Linked DNA regions of Arabidopsis thaliana. The protein of the gene in region 2 purifies or fractionates together with the protein of the main gene of each other region. This does not show direct contact. Each region holds a gene or a part of one and is shown on either strand. Other genes may lie near its edges.

Evidence for each region.
Region 1: the proteins of APC11 (region 2) and EMB2771 purify together in Arabidopsis thaliana (affinity purification with mass spectrometry, with the first as the bait; one large-scale study listed by BioGRID). This does not show direct contact.
Region 3: the proteins of APC11 (region 2) and AT4G38780 purify together in Arabidopsis thaliana (affinity purification with mass spectrometry, with the first as the bait; one large-scale study listed by BioGRID). This does not show direct contact.

What each region holds. Positions count from the first base shown.
Region 1 is NC_003076.8:1,638,364-1,643,123, reverse strand, and holds the start of EMB2771 (E3 ubiquitin ligase), read right to left. Parts: upstream 2,574-4,760; 5' UTR 1,923-2,573; intron 1,814-1,922; 5' UTR 1,673-1,813; coding exon 1,464-1,672; intron 1,228-1,463; coding exon 1,164-1,227; intron 921-1,163; coding exon 836-920; intron 406-835; coding exon 119-405; intron 1-118. Other genes in the region: AT5G05550 (sequence-specific DNA binding transcription factor), read left to right, coding at 2,574-3,300, 3,573-3,595; SDN2 (small RNA degrading nuclease 2), read right to left, coding at 4,365-4,607, 4,683-4,760.
Region 2 is NC_003074.8:1,751,591-1,755,667, reverse strand, and holds APC11 (anaphase-promoting complex/cyclosome 11), read right to left. Parts: upstream 2,380-4,077; 5' UTR 2,173-2,379; exon of another isoform or gene 1,717-2,172; 5' UTR 1,708-1,716; coding exon of another isoform or gene 1,679-1,707; 5' UTR 1,394-1,678; coding exon 1,356-1,393; intron 1,269-1,355; coding exon of another isoform or gene 1,267-1,268; coding exon 1,148-1,266; intron 982-1,147; coding exon 866-981; 3' UTR 527-865; downstream 1-526. Other genes in the region: AT3G05860 (MADS-box transcription factor family protein), read left to right, coding at 3,313-3,855, 3,933-3,965, 4,056-4,077. UniProt on the Arabidopsis thaliana protein: Component of the anaphase promoting complex/cyclosome (APC/C), a cell cycle-regulated E3 ubiquitin-protein ligase complex that controls progression through mitosis and the G1 phase of the cell cycle.
Region 3 is NC_003075.7:18,108,057-18,112,999, forward strand, and holds the start of AT4G38780 (pre-mRNA-processing-splicing factor-like protein), read right to left. Parts: upstream 2,985-4,943; 5' UTR 2,974-2,984; coding exon 2,777-2,973; intron 2,569-2,776; coding exon 2,445-2,568; intron 2,363-2,444; coding exon 2,270-2,362; intron 2,178-2,269; coding exon 1,787-2,177; intron 1,687-1,786; coding exon 1,194-1,686; intron 1,099-1,193; coding exon 308-1,098; intron 209-307; coding exon 1-208. Other genes in the region: AT4G38781 (uncharacterized protein), read right to left, coding at 2,985-3,137; AT4G38790 (ER lumen protein retaining receptor family protein), read left to right, coding at 3,370-3,595, 3,961-4,160, 4,238-4,378, 4,457-4,537, 4,665-4,789, 4,873-4,921. UniProt on the Arabidopsis thaliana protein: Functions as a scaffold that mediates the ordered assembly of spliceosomal proteins and snRNAs. Required for the assembly of the U4/U6-U5 tri-snRNP complex.

The DNA of each region.
Region 1 (4,760 bases), on a different chromosome or scaffold from region 2:
ATTTATGTGCTGTTGAGACAACAAGAAAGAAATAATATAGGTCCCGATATAAAGAAAGACTGGCTTGAAGCAGAAATAAAGTTACAAGGAATATCTACAAAATGATGAGTTCATTTACCCCAGGTTCCTCTAGTGGATCTCTTAGAATCAGATGGGAAGACATGCATGGCATATCTCTTTTGCTAATAAGGTCATGCGCGACTGGGGAATGGAAGTTTTGTGGTGAACTATTCCCAACTTCTTTTCTTTGGCGCAGCATCTCACGAGAACCAAGGATGGGGCTAACAGGAGAAAATGGAACATGTGAGGGTGGATTCACTTCACCAGCTTGCTCAAGAAGTAGACCACATGGTAGAGGCCATATTGATTTGACAGTACGCATTAGTGGAACAGATACAACTTCGCCTGTTGCCAACAATTGCCAAAAATCAGAAAGTAATTACCTCAGCTAGTGTTACCTCAGAAAAGAGACAAACAGTACTGATTAATCAGATCTAGTCAACAAGTAAAAAGGAATACGCAATATATTTCCAAGAGCAGATGAAAGGAAACTAGAAATAGAACGGCTAAAAGTTAATCAATCAACTTGAACGTTCAAAAAGCTATCAATGCACAGAAAGCTACCTGAAATCTATTCTTCATAAACCGATTCCATAAATTTTCATTTGTAATTACACAATTTCAAATGAATCATAAAGAAAGGGACCAACTATGTGCACCAGTATGAGATTGTCCTTTCGTTAGAAGCAAACCATATAAGAATCCATTAGGGTATAATGGAAAAAGTCGGATAGTGCAGAAATATTATAGTTCAGAGGTATCTAGCCACAATTACCTGATGTGTTGTAGATTGTTAAGCAAGCAATTTGTAATACACAAAGAAAAGCTTCTGTCCCTCGACCAAGGTTGCTCCAGCATGCCTATGACATAAAAAAGCTATGAGTTAAAACAGTCTTTCTGACGCATCAAATAGATGGAAAATATTTTTGTCTATGTTTTTGTTAATTCATGTGGAACAGATAACGTATCCACCAATACAACAGAAAAGCATTGTTAAGACATAGCTAGATTTGTTTAATCAAGGATTGTCACAGATAAGAATCCATAGATTTTCAAACGGGAAAACTTGAGAGACAAAGAGCCAAAATTCTAATGGAAATCACCTTAATGACGGCAGAAGACAAGGTAAAACGCTTGAGGACCCGCGAACCGCTTGTCCAGATTATGCTATCATCAAATCAAAATTTCATCGTCAGGTACAGAAACGAACCGCAATTCAGCTAGATACGTTATACCAATATCCAATGAAATTAGCTTCTACTAAAGCATAACCCTTACGGACATTACTGGAAGAAAGAGGCAAACTTGAAGAATAGGAAAACACATTCGAAATTGAAGTGATAACAAATTCATGAAGTGGTGCAGAGTTATAGAGTAATCAGCAAATTGTATACATTTCTTACCAGTTGTCTCGGATGAAGAGCTCGTGCTCTCTCTGCCGCGAGAAGTTGGCATCATTGCCATCAGCATCATCTCGCTCGCCAGTGAGCTCAGGATCGAAGAGGAAATACTGATAGGAATCATCCGGTGATTTACCATCAGTAGCTTCGGCGATTAGACCGAAAGGTTTAAACTTTCCGAGGACGGTAAGTTGGCGAACCCCTGGAGGCATTTTTTCTCCGAAGCCAACAGGCAATGGAGATTGGTGAAGTTTAATTTACACTCTCCCGCTCTTTCCAAGTTGTCTTAGCGCTTAAACCCTAGTCTTTTCTATTTTCAAAATTTTATTTGAGATTCTCATTTCTCTTTAAACCTGCGGGTCGAAATCGTTTTATGAAAAGTAAGCGAGACAGAGGAAGATAACATTGAAGAAGAAGAAGAAGAAGAAGAAGAAGAAGTGAGTAGGAAGAATTGTCACTTACATTAGAAACCGGATAGAGAGGTTTCAAACGAGTTCCGATGATTGTCGAGGCTCTAAACTGAACGGAATGAAGAAAGTGAGGTTCAAAAAAGTATCGAAAGTCGGAAGATTTCGCTTAGTGAAAGAGAGATGTTCTCAGAGGAATTTAATCAAACACTTTCTGTGCTAGATGCAATGAAATCTGGGACGAAGTCTGAGCTTATGAAAGACAAAATTTAAACATTGGAAAGAAGTAAAACTTGAAGGCTTAAAATGAAATAAAACTAAAATATTTCCAACTATTTGCTATTGACCCAATCTGTCACTTTTAGAGGTTTATTTATGTAATCTTTTTAGTTTGAGGTTTGTTTTGGGATAAATGAAAAATTATGAGGTTTTTTTTAACAGTTTAATCATAAGTACTAACGAGACCAAAGAGATTGGTTCGGTCTTAACGGATAATCGCCGTTGGGACCAAAACGCTCCAATACGGTCAGTGACGTCACCGCCGGTCATCAATGTCAGGCCACACTTATCCTCTTCTCTCCCATTCCGGTTTCCTCCCACCAAAAAAAAAAAACTTCTTTTTATGTTTTGTTTGTTTCTATTCCGATCTTATCCTACGCCGTCACTCTCCTCCCGGTGCGCACATTAGCAACACTACTCCCGACGAATGGAGACGACGACGCCGCAGTCAAAATCAAGTGTGTCCCACCGACCGCCGTTGGGAAGAGAAGACTGGTGGAGTGAGGAAGCGACGGCGACGCTGGTAGAAGCCTGGGGCAATCGTTACGTCAAGCTGAACCACGGAAATCTCCGGCAGAATGACTGGAAAGACGTCGCCGACGCCGTTAACTCTAGACACGGTGATAACAGCCGTAAGAAGACCGACTTACAGTGTAAGAACCGGGTCGATACTTTGAAGAAGAAGTACAAAACAGAGAAAGCTAAACTCTCGCCGTCGACTTGGCGTTTCTATAACCGCCTCGATGTTCTAATCGGTCCCGTTGTGAAGAAATCGGCTGGCGGAGTTGTCAAATCAGCGCCTTTTAAGAATCATCTGAATCCAACTGGATCGAACTCTACTGGAAGCTCTCTTGAAGATGATGATGAGGATGATGATGAGGTTGGTGATTGGGAATTCGTTGCTAGGAAGCATCCTCGTGTGGAAGAGGTAGATCTGAGTGAAGGATCAACGTGTAGGGAACTAGCTACGGCGATTCTCAAGTTTGGAGAAGTTTACGAGAGAATTGAAGGGAAGAAGCAACAGATGATGATTGAGTTGGAGAAGCAGAGAATGGAAGTGACAAAGGAGGTAGAGTTAAAACGAATGAACATGTTGATGGAGATGCAGTTAGAGATTGAGAAATCAAAGCACCGGAAACGCGCAAGTGCTTCAGGTAAGAAGAACTCACATTAGGTTTTCAAGTTACTAGTGGTGGCTTAGACTTTACATGGTTGTTACTCTTTCTCTTTAAACCGCATAATGTATCCGTGGAAGGACCTTAGATTTCAACAACAATGTTATACCTATGCTGTTAGTTGTTGTAAGCATGGATGAGGCTGGTTAGTAATTGACTTATTGTTGATATGTGAAAGTCATGTGCCTCTCTGCTTTTGAAGAATACCAATTTTGTCAATATACAATTCAGTTGAGCTTCTGTGCTTCCAGTGGTCTGGCAAGGAAAAGTCTAGATAGCATTCTCTTACTTCTTTAGCTTCTCCAGCTTCGTGGAATGTTGAACTGGATTAGGAGGAGTAGACTTCCAGGTTTGAAATTGAGAAAAAAGATCAATGTTCATAGTAGTCGAACATTCTTCATATGGTAATGAGTTCACTGAAGTTTGATCTGCCTTTATTGTACAGGTAAGCAATTGTAGAATTAGATTGGTGGAGGAAATACCATGGTGAAGCAAAGAGGAGTTACTTGAATCTGAAGCTCATTGAAATTGGAGGATCCTGTTACTTGTTTTAATCTGTAGGATGGAAGTTAGAGAACTCTTTAGGATGTCTTTGTTTGTTTTCTTCTACTTTCTAGCGTGTTAGTGTACATTGGTGTACTGGAGCAAATCTTCCTTAACTCTTTAGTAGCTGACAAGTATGATCTACATTTGTGTTAGTGTCCACGTATAATGATGGCTTGTGTATCCAAACTACAGCTTCTGATGCTTAACAGTTACATGTTTATGCTTCTTCTTGGGCTTTTTCATGTCTAAATTTTTATCATAACCACTTATCATAAGATATATATAATACATCCACAAGTATGCAGTTGCATCCGAGTATCTTAAATCAATAGTCTCTGAGTTCTTTAACCTTTAAATTGGCAAAATACTATCCAAGGTTCATTAAGGGCATCAACGATGACCAAACACAAACTAGAGTCACAGTGAAAGCAATTTTCAAGAATCCGGACCAATTATCATCTTATCATTTTGCTTTGAGTTCTTGATTTTCCTTGATATTATCTTCTTCGTTTGACATTGCTTCTCTGTTTTCGTCTGGACAATGGTTTACACCTGCGTCTATCTCTGGTCCCTTTAGAATGATTTTCTCTCTTCCGTTTCTTAGAACTCGCATTATTCTCCTCTGCTATGACTTCCCCAACCAAATCATCTTCGACCATTTTACGAACGAGAACATATAATCTAGGTTCTGATGAACTCGGCTCTAGAAAGATCTGTTTTTGTGACAACCCCCTCGAATCCTGTAAGAGAAATACATAGAAACTTGTTATATCACCACCATCTGTGAAATAACCAAAGATATGATGCTAAATTACCTTTCCAAAGTCTCCAGCAATGTTTTCAAATGCTTGATTTGCTTCTTCTGGACTTTTAAAAACAACAATCGCGCTATA
Region 2 (4,077 bases):
AATTAATCATCACTGTTGTGTTTGCATTGTTATATAAATGTTGTGTTGATATAAAAGAAGAGAGCGTTGGTTTGTACTTTGTGTGAAGATTTTTTAAAAATATAGTTGGTTTATTACAATAAATTGGAAATTGTGTTGCCTTGGTGGATCACAGGACCACCATTAACCATTATACCTTATACCTTACGCTATCATTTCATCACCAATAAATTGGCCCCATTACTTGGCACCATTAGCGATACCCACGAGGATCACTGCGTACTCACACCCACCGGTTGTTATAACTTATAACTCAATTTTGATATGACTACTTAATACTATATCTTATTTCAATCATCGAATTAAATCAATTGAATGTTTAGACTTTAGGGACTTTCCTTCTGCAGATTAGTATAGACTCATACTAATGAATGTATCTCTTGTGATTAAAAAAAGAAAAAATTCAACTGAATTTGACTATAGAATTTATTTTGAACTGAAAATTATGAGTCACTAACCAAACGGTCGATTCATCAACGTAAATTCAAAATGTATATTGTTTTTCGTTTTAATATAGTAATGAAAAATTAACTAAGAACCAATCATATATTAACCAATTCAAAGGCGACGTGATACAAAAAAAAAAAAAAAAGTATTAACTACAAACAAAGACCATATAGATGATGAAGCTCACAAAAAGTTGCTTGATCTCTACTTTGTCCAAGCAATCAAACCAAGGACAAGCTTCAAAAACATTACTAAAGCTCTATCTTGCGTTTCAGCAGATGATCATACTCAACACTAACGGTCCAAATACAACTACACGAGATCATTCCAAAACATCCCCTATGACGAGAGCTGCAGACTAATCCTCCTCATAACTTGCTTACTCTTTGAACTGCCATTCTCTTCTGCACATTGGGCAATGAGCTTGGCTCGTCTGCGAATTCACCCATTTCAATATACAGTGAAGATGAAACGCGTGGTTGCAGGCTCCCCAAACTGCCCAAACACCAAAACACCAAAACAGATAAGGTCTAAGGCATGCAGTTTTGTTTTGAGTTATTACCATAAGTAAATGTTTAGCAATGTTTCCGTAAGCAAGAGAAATAGTGGGTGTTCTAAGCAACATATATAAAAGCGAAGACATGAAAGAAGAGAACTTTACTTAGAGGGCAATCATCTCCAGGAAGTTTGCAATCAGGACAACAACCATCAAAAGCCATCCGACATATCCCACATGTTTCGTCTTGAGCATCCCATGTCCATGAAGCAACTGCATGCCATCTATTCCAGGGAGAAACAATCAGTTACAACAATAGAAACTCCGCATTGTAAGAGCTCATGTGTTAAAGCTAAAGGGACGAGGAACCTACTCTGTTTTTTTTTTGGGTATGCAGGACAGAAGTAGCATAGAAAGTCAAGAGCAACAATTTCGTTTTTCTTCTTTTACTTGTGCAACAAAGCGAAATGCAGGCATTTTGAACAAACCTAGTCTATTAAATAAACCAATGGAAGATGCAAAAAGTTATTATGAATCATCAAGCTGGGAATCTAACTCGGTAAAGCTAATACACGATAAACAGACTTAAGATGTTTATTATCATATCAGATGATCACCATCAAAAGTCCTGGGATGATTTATCACTTAACCTAATATAAACTTTCCCCCAAAAAAGCTAAGAAGAGATGAAGCAACAAAAGGATACGCAAGATCTTGACTTTCATAGCTTCCTCCTGGATAAATAAAAACCTTCAATCAGTTTCAAAAACCCTGTTATAAGCCTAAAGATGGTTACAGACTCGTAAAATTAGAGACTACTAACAAAAGACTACACAAACAAAAACTCAAGGTATAACTCTTCTGTGCAACACGTATACAAGACGTATTTGAAAGTTAAGCCTTAAGATTAGATAAAAATATCATAAACCAAAACAAAGACAAAATATGAAATTTACGAATTGAATGTTTTCTCTTTCAGGCATTTAATCGAACAACTGGTATGCCAAAATCAAACTTAGATCAGTGAACTCCACAGAATCATCGGAATGAGAATGAAGAACGATCATCAGTACCGAACGCAGAATAAATCAGTGCCAAGCAACGGAATTTGAGCGTAATTATCAAGAACTAATTATCTAAAACTGGTACCACATTACAAAGTCCGAAAAACAAGATCAACAAGAACATACCTAAAAAATAAGTGTGAAGATCGATGGTGTAGCCGAACGATGAAATCGAAATAGAAAAATTCTTAACCGGGAAAGAAATTTTGCTGGCAATGGCGAGAGGATCGGACTTGGGAAAGAGCGTGACGAAACGAAACGAAGGAGAAAAAGAGACGGACGTGTTTCATTGATTTTGGCCCGAGAAATAAATTGGGCTTTAAGATTAAAAGCCCAAATAACGGGTTTGTTTTTACTTATCCAATCTACGAAAGTTATGAAGAGATCATATGATGTCACTAATCTCGATATCTTAATTCTTAAAAGTATTGAAACGATGGATTATATTAAAACTTTTTTAATTATGATATATACATGTTGGATATAAACATATCTCTTTTTGGATTTGATCATTCATATATCTGAGAATGTTTGATCATTTTTTACGAAGAATATGTTTATTTTCAATATTACTAGAACACTACAAGTTTACAACCAGTTAAATACCTTTAGTACTAGTAAATCTTATTTAAAAGAATAATTTTTTTTTTACAAAATCTTACGTAATATACTTGACAACCTGTAAAATTAGTTGAATACCAAAAAGTATTTTATCATATCCAAATATAAATCATTAGAGAAGATGCAATGTATTGAATACATTTTCTAAATCTAGTTATTAGTCCTATTGTCCACGAAAGGTAAATAATTTTATTGAATGTACATATTAGCTGTTATTCAAACTAAAATAATAAATATTTATAATTTGTATTTTGATGTACATACTTACATAGAAAACAATCTCTAAATTTAATTACAATATATATATCTTCATCATCTAAATGGAAAGTTCTTTTATTGTTCTCATATTATTCATTCATAACCAGAATTTATGATGTAATCTTGATGTAGCCAACTCAAAAACTTTGGCCAATAATTTTTGTTATTTGTACCAAGTGGCATAACTATGCATTATTTCATATTAATTAAGAACTTTGGTGCATTTAATTACAATATTTTTAATTGCCAGCTATTTGTGAGATCATCACTTGAACAGTTGATTGTTCCATATAAACAAACTCATGATAAAAACAATACACAACATACAACAATACAAAACATATTTGATACTAGACATACAAATTCCTTTTTATTGTTGTCATTACCATGACGAGGAAGAAGCTAAACCTATCTTACATCACCAATGAGTCAATGAGAAAAGCAACATTCAATAAGAGAAAGAAAGGGCTTGTGAAAAAAATCCACGAGCTTTCCGTTCTCTGCGGAATCGAAGCATGTGCAGTGATTTATAGTCCGTTCAACTCAAACCCTGAAGTCTGGCCATCGAATTCAGAAGTTAAAAATGTAATGGAAAATTTTGAGATGTTGACAAAGTTGGAGCAAGAGAAGAAAATGGTGAGCCACGAAGGTTTTATCAGACAAAACATCTCAAAAACTATGGAGAGTAACAACAAAAAGATGATCGATAATGCGGAGAGGACGATGAAAGAAGCCATGTTCCAACTTCTTAGTGGAAAAGGGGAGAAGCTTAATTTGACTGATAGAAACCGTGAAGATTTGTGTAAGTACATTGATCAATATCTTAAAGAACTTTATCACCACAAAAACAAAACCATAAATCAATCACATATTGAACCTGGAGAATCTTCGGGAGCTACAAATGCCATGACACCAACATCTGTTGTTGAAGTGAGTTCTTATTCCTTTCCAATTATCTCGATGTTTTCAACTCTCCTTGACTAATCAATGATTTCTCGTCTTTGAAGCCTATTATCTCTTCAATCCAGCGACCAAATCAGGTTAATATCTTCTCCAGTAATTTTCTATCTAGTGATGCTGACCAGTAAAGTTATTCTCTAGTGATAAATCCATTTGGTGTTTATGATCAGAATCCAAATTTTAATCATCTTA
Region 3 (4,943 bases), on a different chromosome or scaffold from region 2:
TCAACAGTAGCCCCTCTTCTGATACGTTCACGATTGTAGTGAGCAACATTTGTCCACCAATCAGCTTTAGACTTGACATATCGGAGGATCATATTCTCAATTGCCACAGGTAATCCAGGGACCTTCCATGGTATATTAGCTTTCCAACACCGCCATGCCTCACTAAGGTGCTGCAATATCGTCCGCGCCTTATTTTGCTTAATACCCTCTGCACATTAGAAGACAGTATAAACCAACAAGGAAGAGATAAAATTAAAGGAAATCGACCTTGAGAAAAACAAATCAGTTATAGACGCAAGAAGCGAACCTGGCATTGCATCAACAACATCATGCATGACAGCAGCTCGAAGCTCCAAATCAAAATGGCTTTCAACTCTCTGTTTTGTGACTGTTTTGGCCACTCCCTTTGAGTGACGCCCCTCAAATTGACGTGCAAGCAGATTCCCTAACCATCGTTCTAGAAGAGGAACTATTCCGCGAAGGAAAAACAACCATACCCTCCACATTGGAGCCCAAAATCCACACCCTGGTCCTTTACCCACAGGACCAGTATTGAAACGGTAATAGATCAAGTGTTTCAAATCCTTGCACATCCTGATTTGTCTCATAAGCCTGTACTTATAACGATACATACCTGTCAATTGCCCAACATGGGAGAAAATATATTGCAGGCCATCAGCCAATTGAAAGGCATCAACATTACCAAGTCGGAACTGGACATTTGCATCAACTACAAGTTTTGTCAGCCGGAGGATCTCACGGCAGAGATGGAAAGCATTTCCAAAACGCGACTTCTTTCGTTCCTTGGTTGTCAGAGTTTTCACAGGCTTGAGGTTGAAGTTATAATCAAGGTGCAGGTAGTTCAAATTCTTCCTGTGAATCAACAGGTTCAGCATATTATACCCCTGCCGGCAGACTTGCAGACCCACTTCAACCCAATCCAGTTCGGTGCTCTGAAAAAACTTTGTAGCTGCAAGAGATCGAAACAAATGCTTCTTCTTCTGAGCCTTAGGGGGTCTATGGTGCAGCTCATTCAGTAGATAACATTTCAAAAGCTTCTGGTAACTAACCCGAACTTTGACAGGATATGCTGGAGGACTGCAGAAAATGAGATAACTAAGAAGTTAATACAATGTCTAGTAAATTTCAAAAGGGGAAAGAGAACCACAGTAGCATCAGAAAAATTAGCTTACCAGTGCTCCTTAAACCACTCTGCAACAAGGGGTATATCTTCAGCCCGCCGAGTCCTCCCAGACCTCATATTGAAAGGCCGAGGGGCAAACAACAATGAAATGCCAGGAGCTGTAGTGTCAGTGTAGAGTGGCGAGTTATTTAGCAAAGGTTCCAGTCCTTCTGGTAACACAAAGTCATCCCCATCATCATCATAACCATTACTTTTGCGCTGTTCTTTATTAGTGTTATTAGAGTTACTTATGGGGTGAATTAATGGATCATAATAAAAGGCAGGAAGGTCAGGATCCTCAGTCTTTATGTACATAACCATAGGAGTGTGATAGACACAGAGTTTTACTTTCCTGGGCCTATTATTGTACAGATGTGGGAAAGCTACTTTGTACTCAGTTCGCAGAGGGGATCGAATTATAAGCTTGTTGATGTCATTAAATTCATTCCAGTCTTCATCTCCTTTCTCCATATCACGATGCAAAGGCTCAAACTTAGGACCGCCTGAAAAAGAGTACCAAATTGAATCAGGGAAAGAGAACAGAAGGACAACAACTGTGAAAACGAAGATATCAGAACAGGAGAACATAGAGTATAGCGTTACCTGGTATGCACATGTTCAGTGCCTTTGCAGTAAAGAATGATGGCATGTCAAACAAGTAGAAGTAGTTGCGATCAACCAAATCAGACAACAACTGGGCTGCAAGCCTGTGAAGGGTTGACATAATTGGAAGTGAGAGATTCCACGTCTGGTAACTTGGACCATTGATCATTTTTGTTTTTACAAGTGGCTTGTGGTCGTAAAACCAAGAGTACACAGCAGAATCTTCTTCTTCATCTAGCTCCAACTGAATTGCCTCTAGAGGATCAACGTCCAACAGGTTATCAGCATAGTCTAGAGGGGGCTCCTCATCATCAAATGGTGGAAACCGCATTCTCTTGAAATGACGACGATCCCTCTTCTCCCTTCTCATCATTATCCACATAGAACCCCACTGCAAACGAAAGAATCATCACTAGAAAACATGTCTCACAAATTCACAAATGCACAGACACAAAAGAAGAGAGAGGGAGATTATTCACCCACCTGAGCCATGTAAATAGGTTCCACAACCCATCGTACTTCGTTCACAAATGTAATAGCTCCAGTGATGTGGTACAAGACCTTCACGTCCCGGACCTGGAAAATATCTGAGTTCAAAATTTTGAGCAGAGCAGGAGAACAACTAAAGCGAGATATAGATCACTAAGTGAATAATTACCTGTTCCCAGGGCATAGGCATATTCTCCAGGAGCTTGAAAACTGCGTGAGGAACGAACTTAAGTGCTCCAAGATATACACGTTTATCAAGTCGATGTTTCTTTGATGACATATCACCATGATCCCTGAATCAAAACGCAGAGTCAGTTTCAATCTAACTTAACCCAAACCTAATAATACAAAGAAATTGGACCAGATTCGTTTCCCAGTCAACTGGATTTCGAAATCGAAATTGAAAAATTAGAAACTCGCCTGATGATTTTCCTAACGTGCTCAGGTGGCATGTCCTCCTTCTGAGTTTCCACGAACCCAAACTTCCTCTTGTCGCCGTACCGTTTGGAATTTAGCTGCATCCATGTTCTCGCCTTCTTCTCAAGCTTCGCCTCTGCATCCTCGGGAGTAGGAACCGTCGGAGTATTCCGATTAGAAGGCGCCGTGTAAGAAGGATGATCAGCGGGATGTGAAGGTGTCTGCATCCTCGAACCGTCGGTACCAGGAGGAGCTAAGGACGTACCATCAATGTTCCACATAGCTTCAGATTTCAAATCCAAAGGCCCAGCAAAATCGCCGAGGAGCAAAACCCTAAAACCTCAGTGCGAGCCTTGACGAACACGAAAATCCCTAAAATCACCGTCGTCGGGTGAGGTTGGTAAGAAAGACGATTAACCGAACGAACATATATATACGAAGGCATTCATGGGCCTTTTAGAAAAACAATAGATACGATTATGGGCCTAATTTATGGATTCAGTCACGGCTCATTTAGTATTTAAGAGTAAGAGATGTGTGGAAGGGGTGATTTGGTAATTTACATTCAAGTCAACCAAAACCAGACTTTTTAATCTCTCTCGATCAGAAGTTACCTTTTTCACTTTTGCCGAGAAAATCAGAGACAGAAGAAGAAGAAAAGCGAAAAAAAGCAAAACATGAAGGCGACGACGAAGACTCCGATCCACGTGGTGTGGTCATGGGTTAGGAGACAACCTCCGAAGGTGAAGGCTTTTCTCGCCGTGGTCACTGGCATGGCGGCTTTGGTTCTTCTCAGATTCATTGTTCACGATCACGACAATCTCTTCGTTGCCGCTGAGGCTGTTCATTCCATCGGGATCTGTGTGCTCATCTACAAACTCATGAAGGAGAAGACCTGTGCCGGTACTATTCTATGTGTCTTGTCTTTATCACATCCATTTTTAGGGTTTTTCAACTCAGTCCTGCCTTATCAGCTTCTGATCGTATGTATTCCTCTGTTCTTAGCAAAATTACTTTTCAACGTCACAACTTTTTTGTTTTTCCTCATAATCGCGTCCAAATTTTCGAGCTTTGATCAGGATTTCATTGGTTTACCACTATTATCTGCTCCCGGAAGCAGCCTTTAGCCGTAATTCGTAGAATCATCATCTTTATAATCAAGGATTCAATTGGCAATTTAGGGTTTAAGATGCATTCTATGGTTCTTTTTTTAAATCGAAAGTGTTTACCTTCGATGTGTTTATATAACTTTGTGAATGATTTTGCAGGATTGTCACTGAAATCTCAGGAGCTTACGGCGATATTTTTAGCTGTTAGGCTGTATTGTAGCATTGTAATGGAATATGATATACATACCATTCTTGACTTGGCTACTTTGGGAACAACTCTCTGGGTTATATTTATGATTCGTTTCAAGTTAAGAGCTAGTTACATGGAGGACAAAGACAACTTTCCTCTCTATTATGTGGTAAGTCAATCTGGTTTTGATCCTCGAGTTGTTTGTTATCATTTACAGTGACAATGATCTGATTTCAATTTTTGCAGCTTGCGCCCTGTGTTGCATTAGCTGTGTTCATCCATCCATCGACCTCTCATAACATAATAAACAGAATTTCATGGGCTTTATGTGTATACCTTGAAGCTGTTTCAGTACTACCTCAGCTACGAGTGATGCAGAACACAAAGGTCACTACTTTATTTCACAATGTCAAGTAGAGAACTACATTTGTTTTACTCTCTAATCCGCGTCTATTTGGTTTTCAGATTGTTGAACCGTTCACGGCTCATTATGTTTTTGCACTTGGAGTAGCAAGGTTCCTCAGCTGTGCCCACTGGGTTTTACAGGTTAGTTTTGATCTTCAAGAGTGGATAGAGGTTATACCAATAGTGGTGATTCCTATACTCGATTGGATTAGTACCTTAAAAGTCGATTTTGAATAGCTGAATACATTGTCTAATGTGCTGAAAATAGGTTGTGGACACGCGGGGACGGTTGCTTGTAGCATTGGGTTATGGATTGTGGCCATCAATGGTTCTGATCTCAGAAATTGTTCAAACTTTCATCTTGGCAGATTTCTGTTACTACTACGTCAAAAGGTACGCATTAGTCCTTCACTTCAACAGTTTAGCTATTTAGCTCTTTGTATATATCTCAAAAGTTTCAACATTTTTCTTTACAGCGTTTTCGGAGGCCAGCTTGTTCTCCGGCTACCGTCTGGAGTAGTATAAGTTCAAAAGATAGAAATACCCC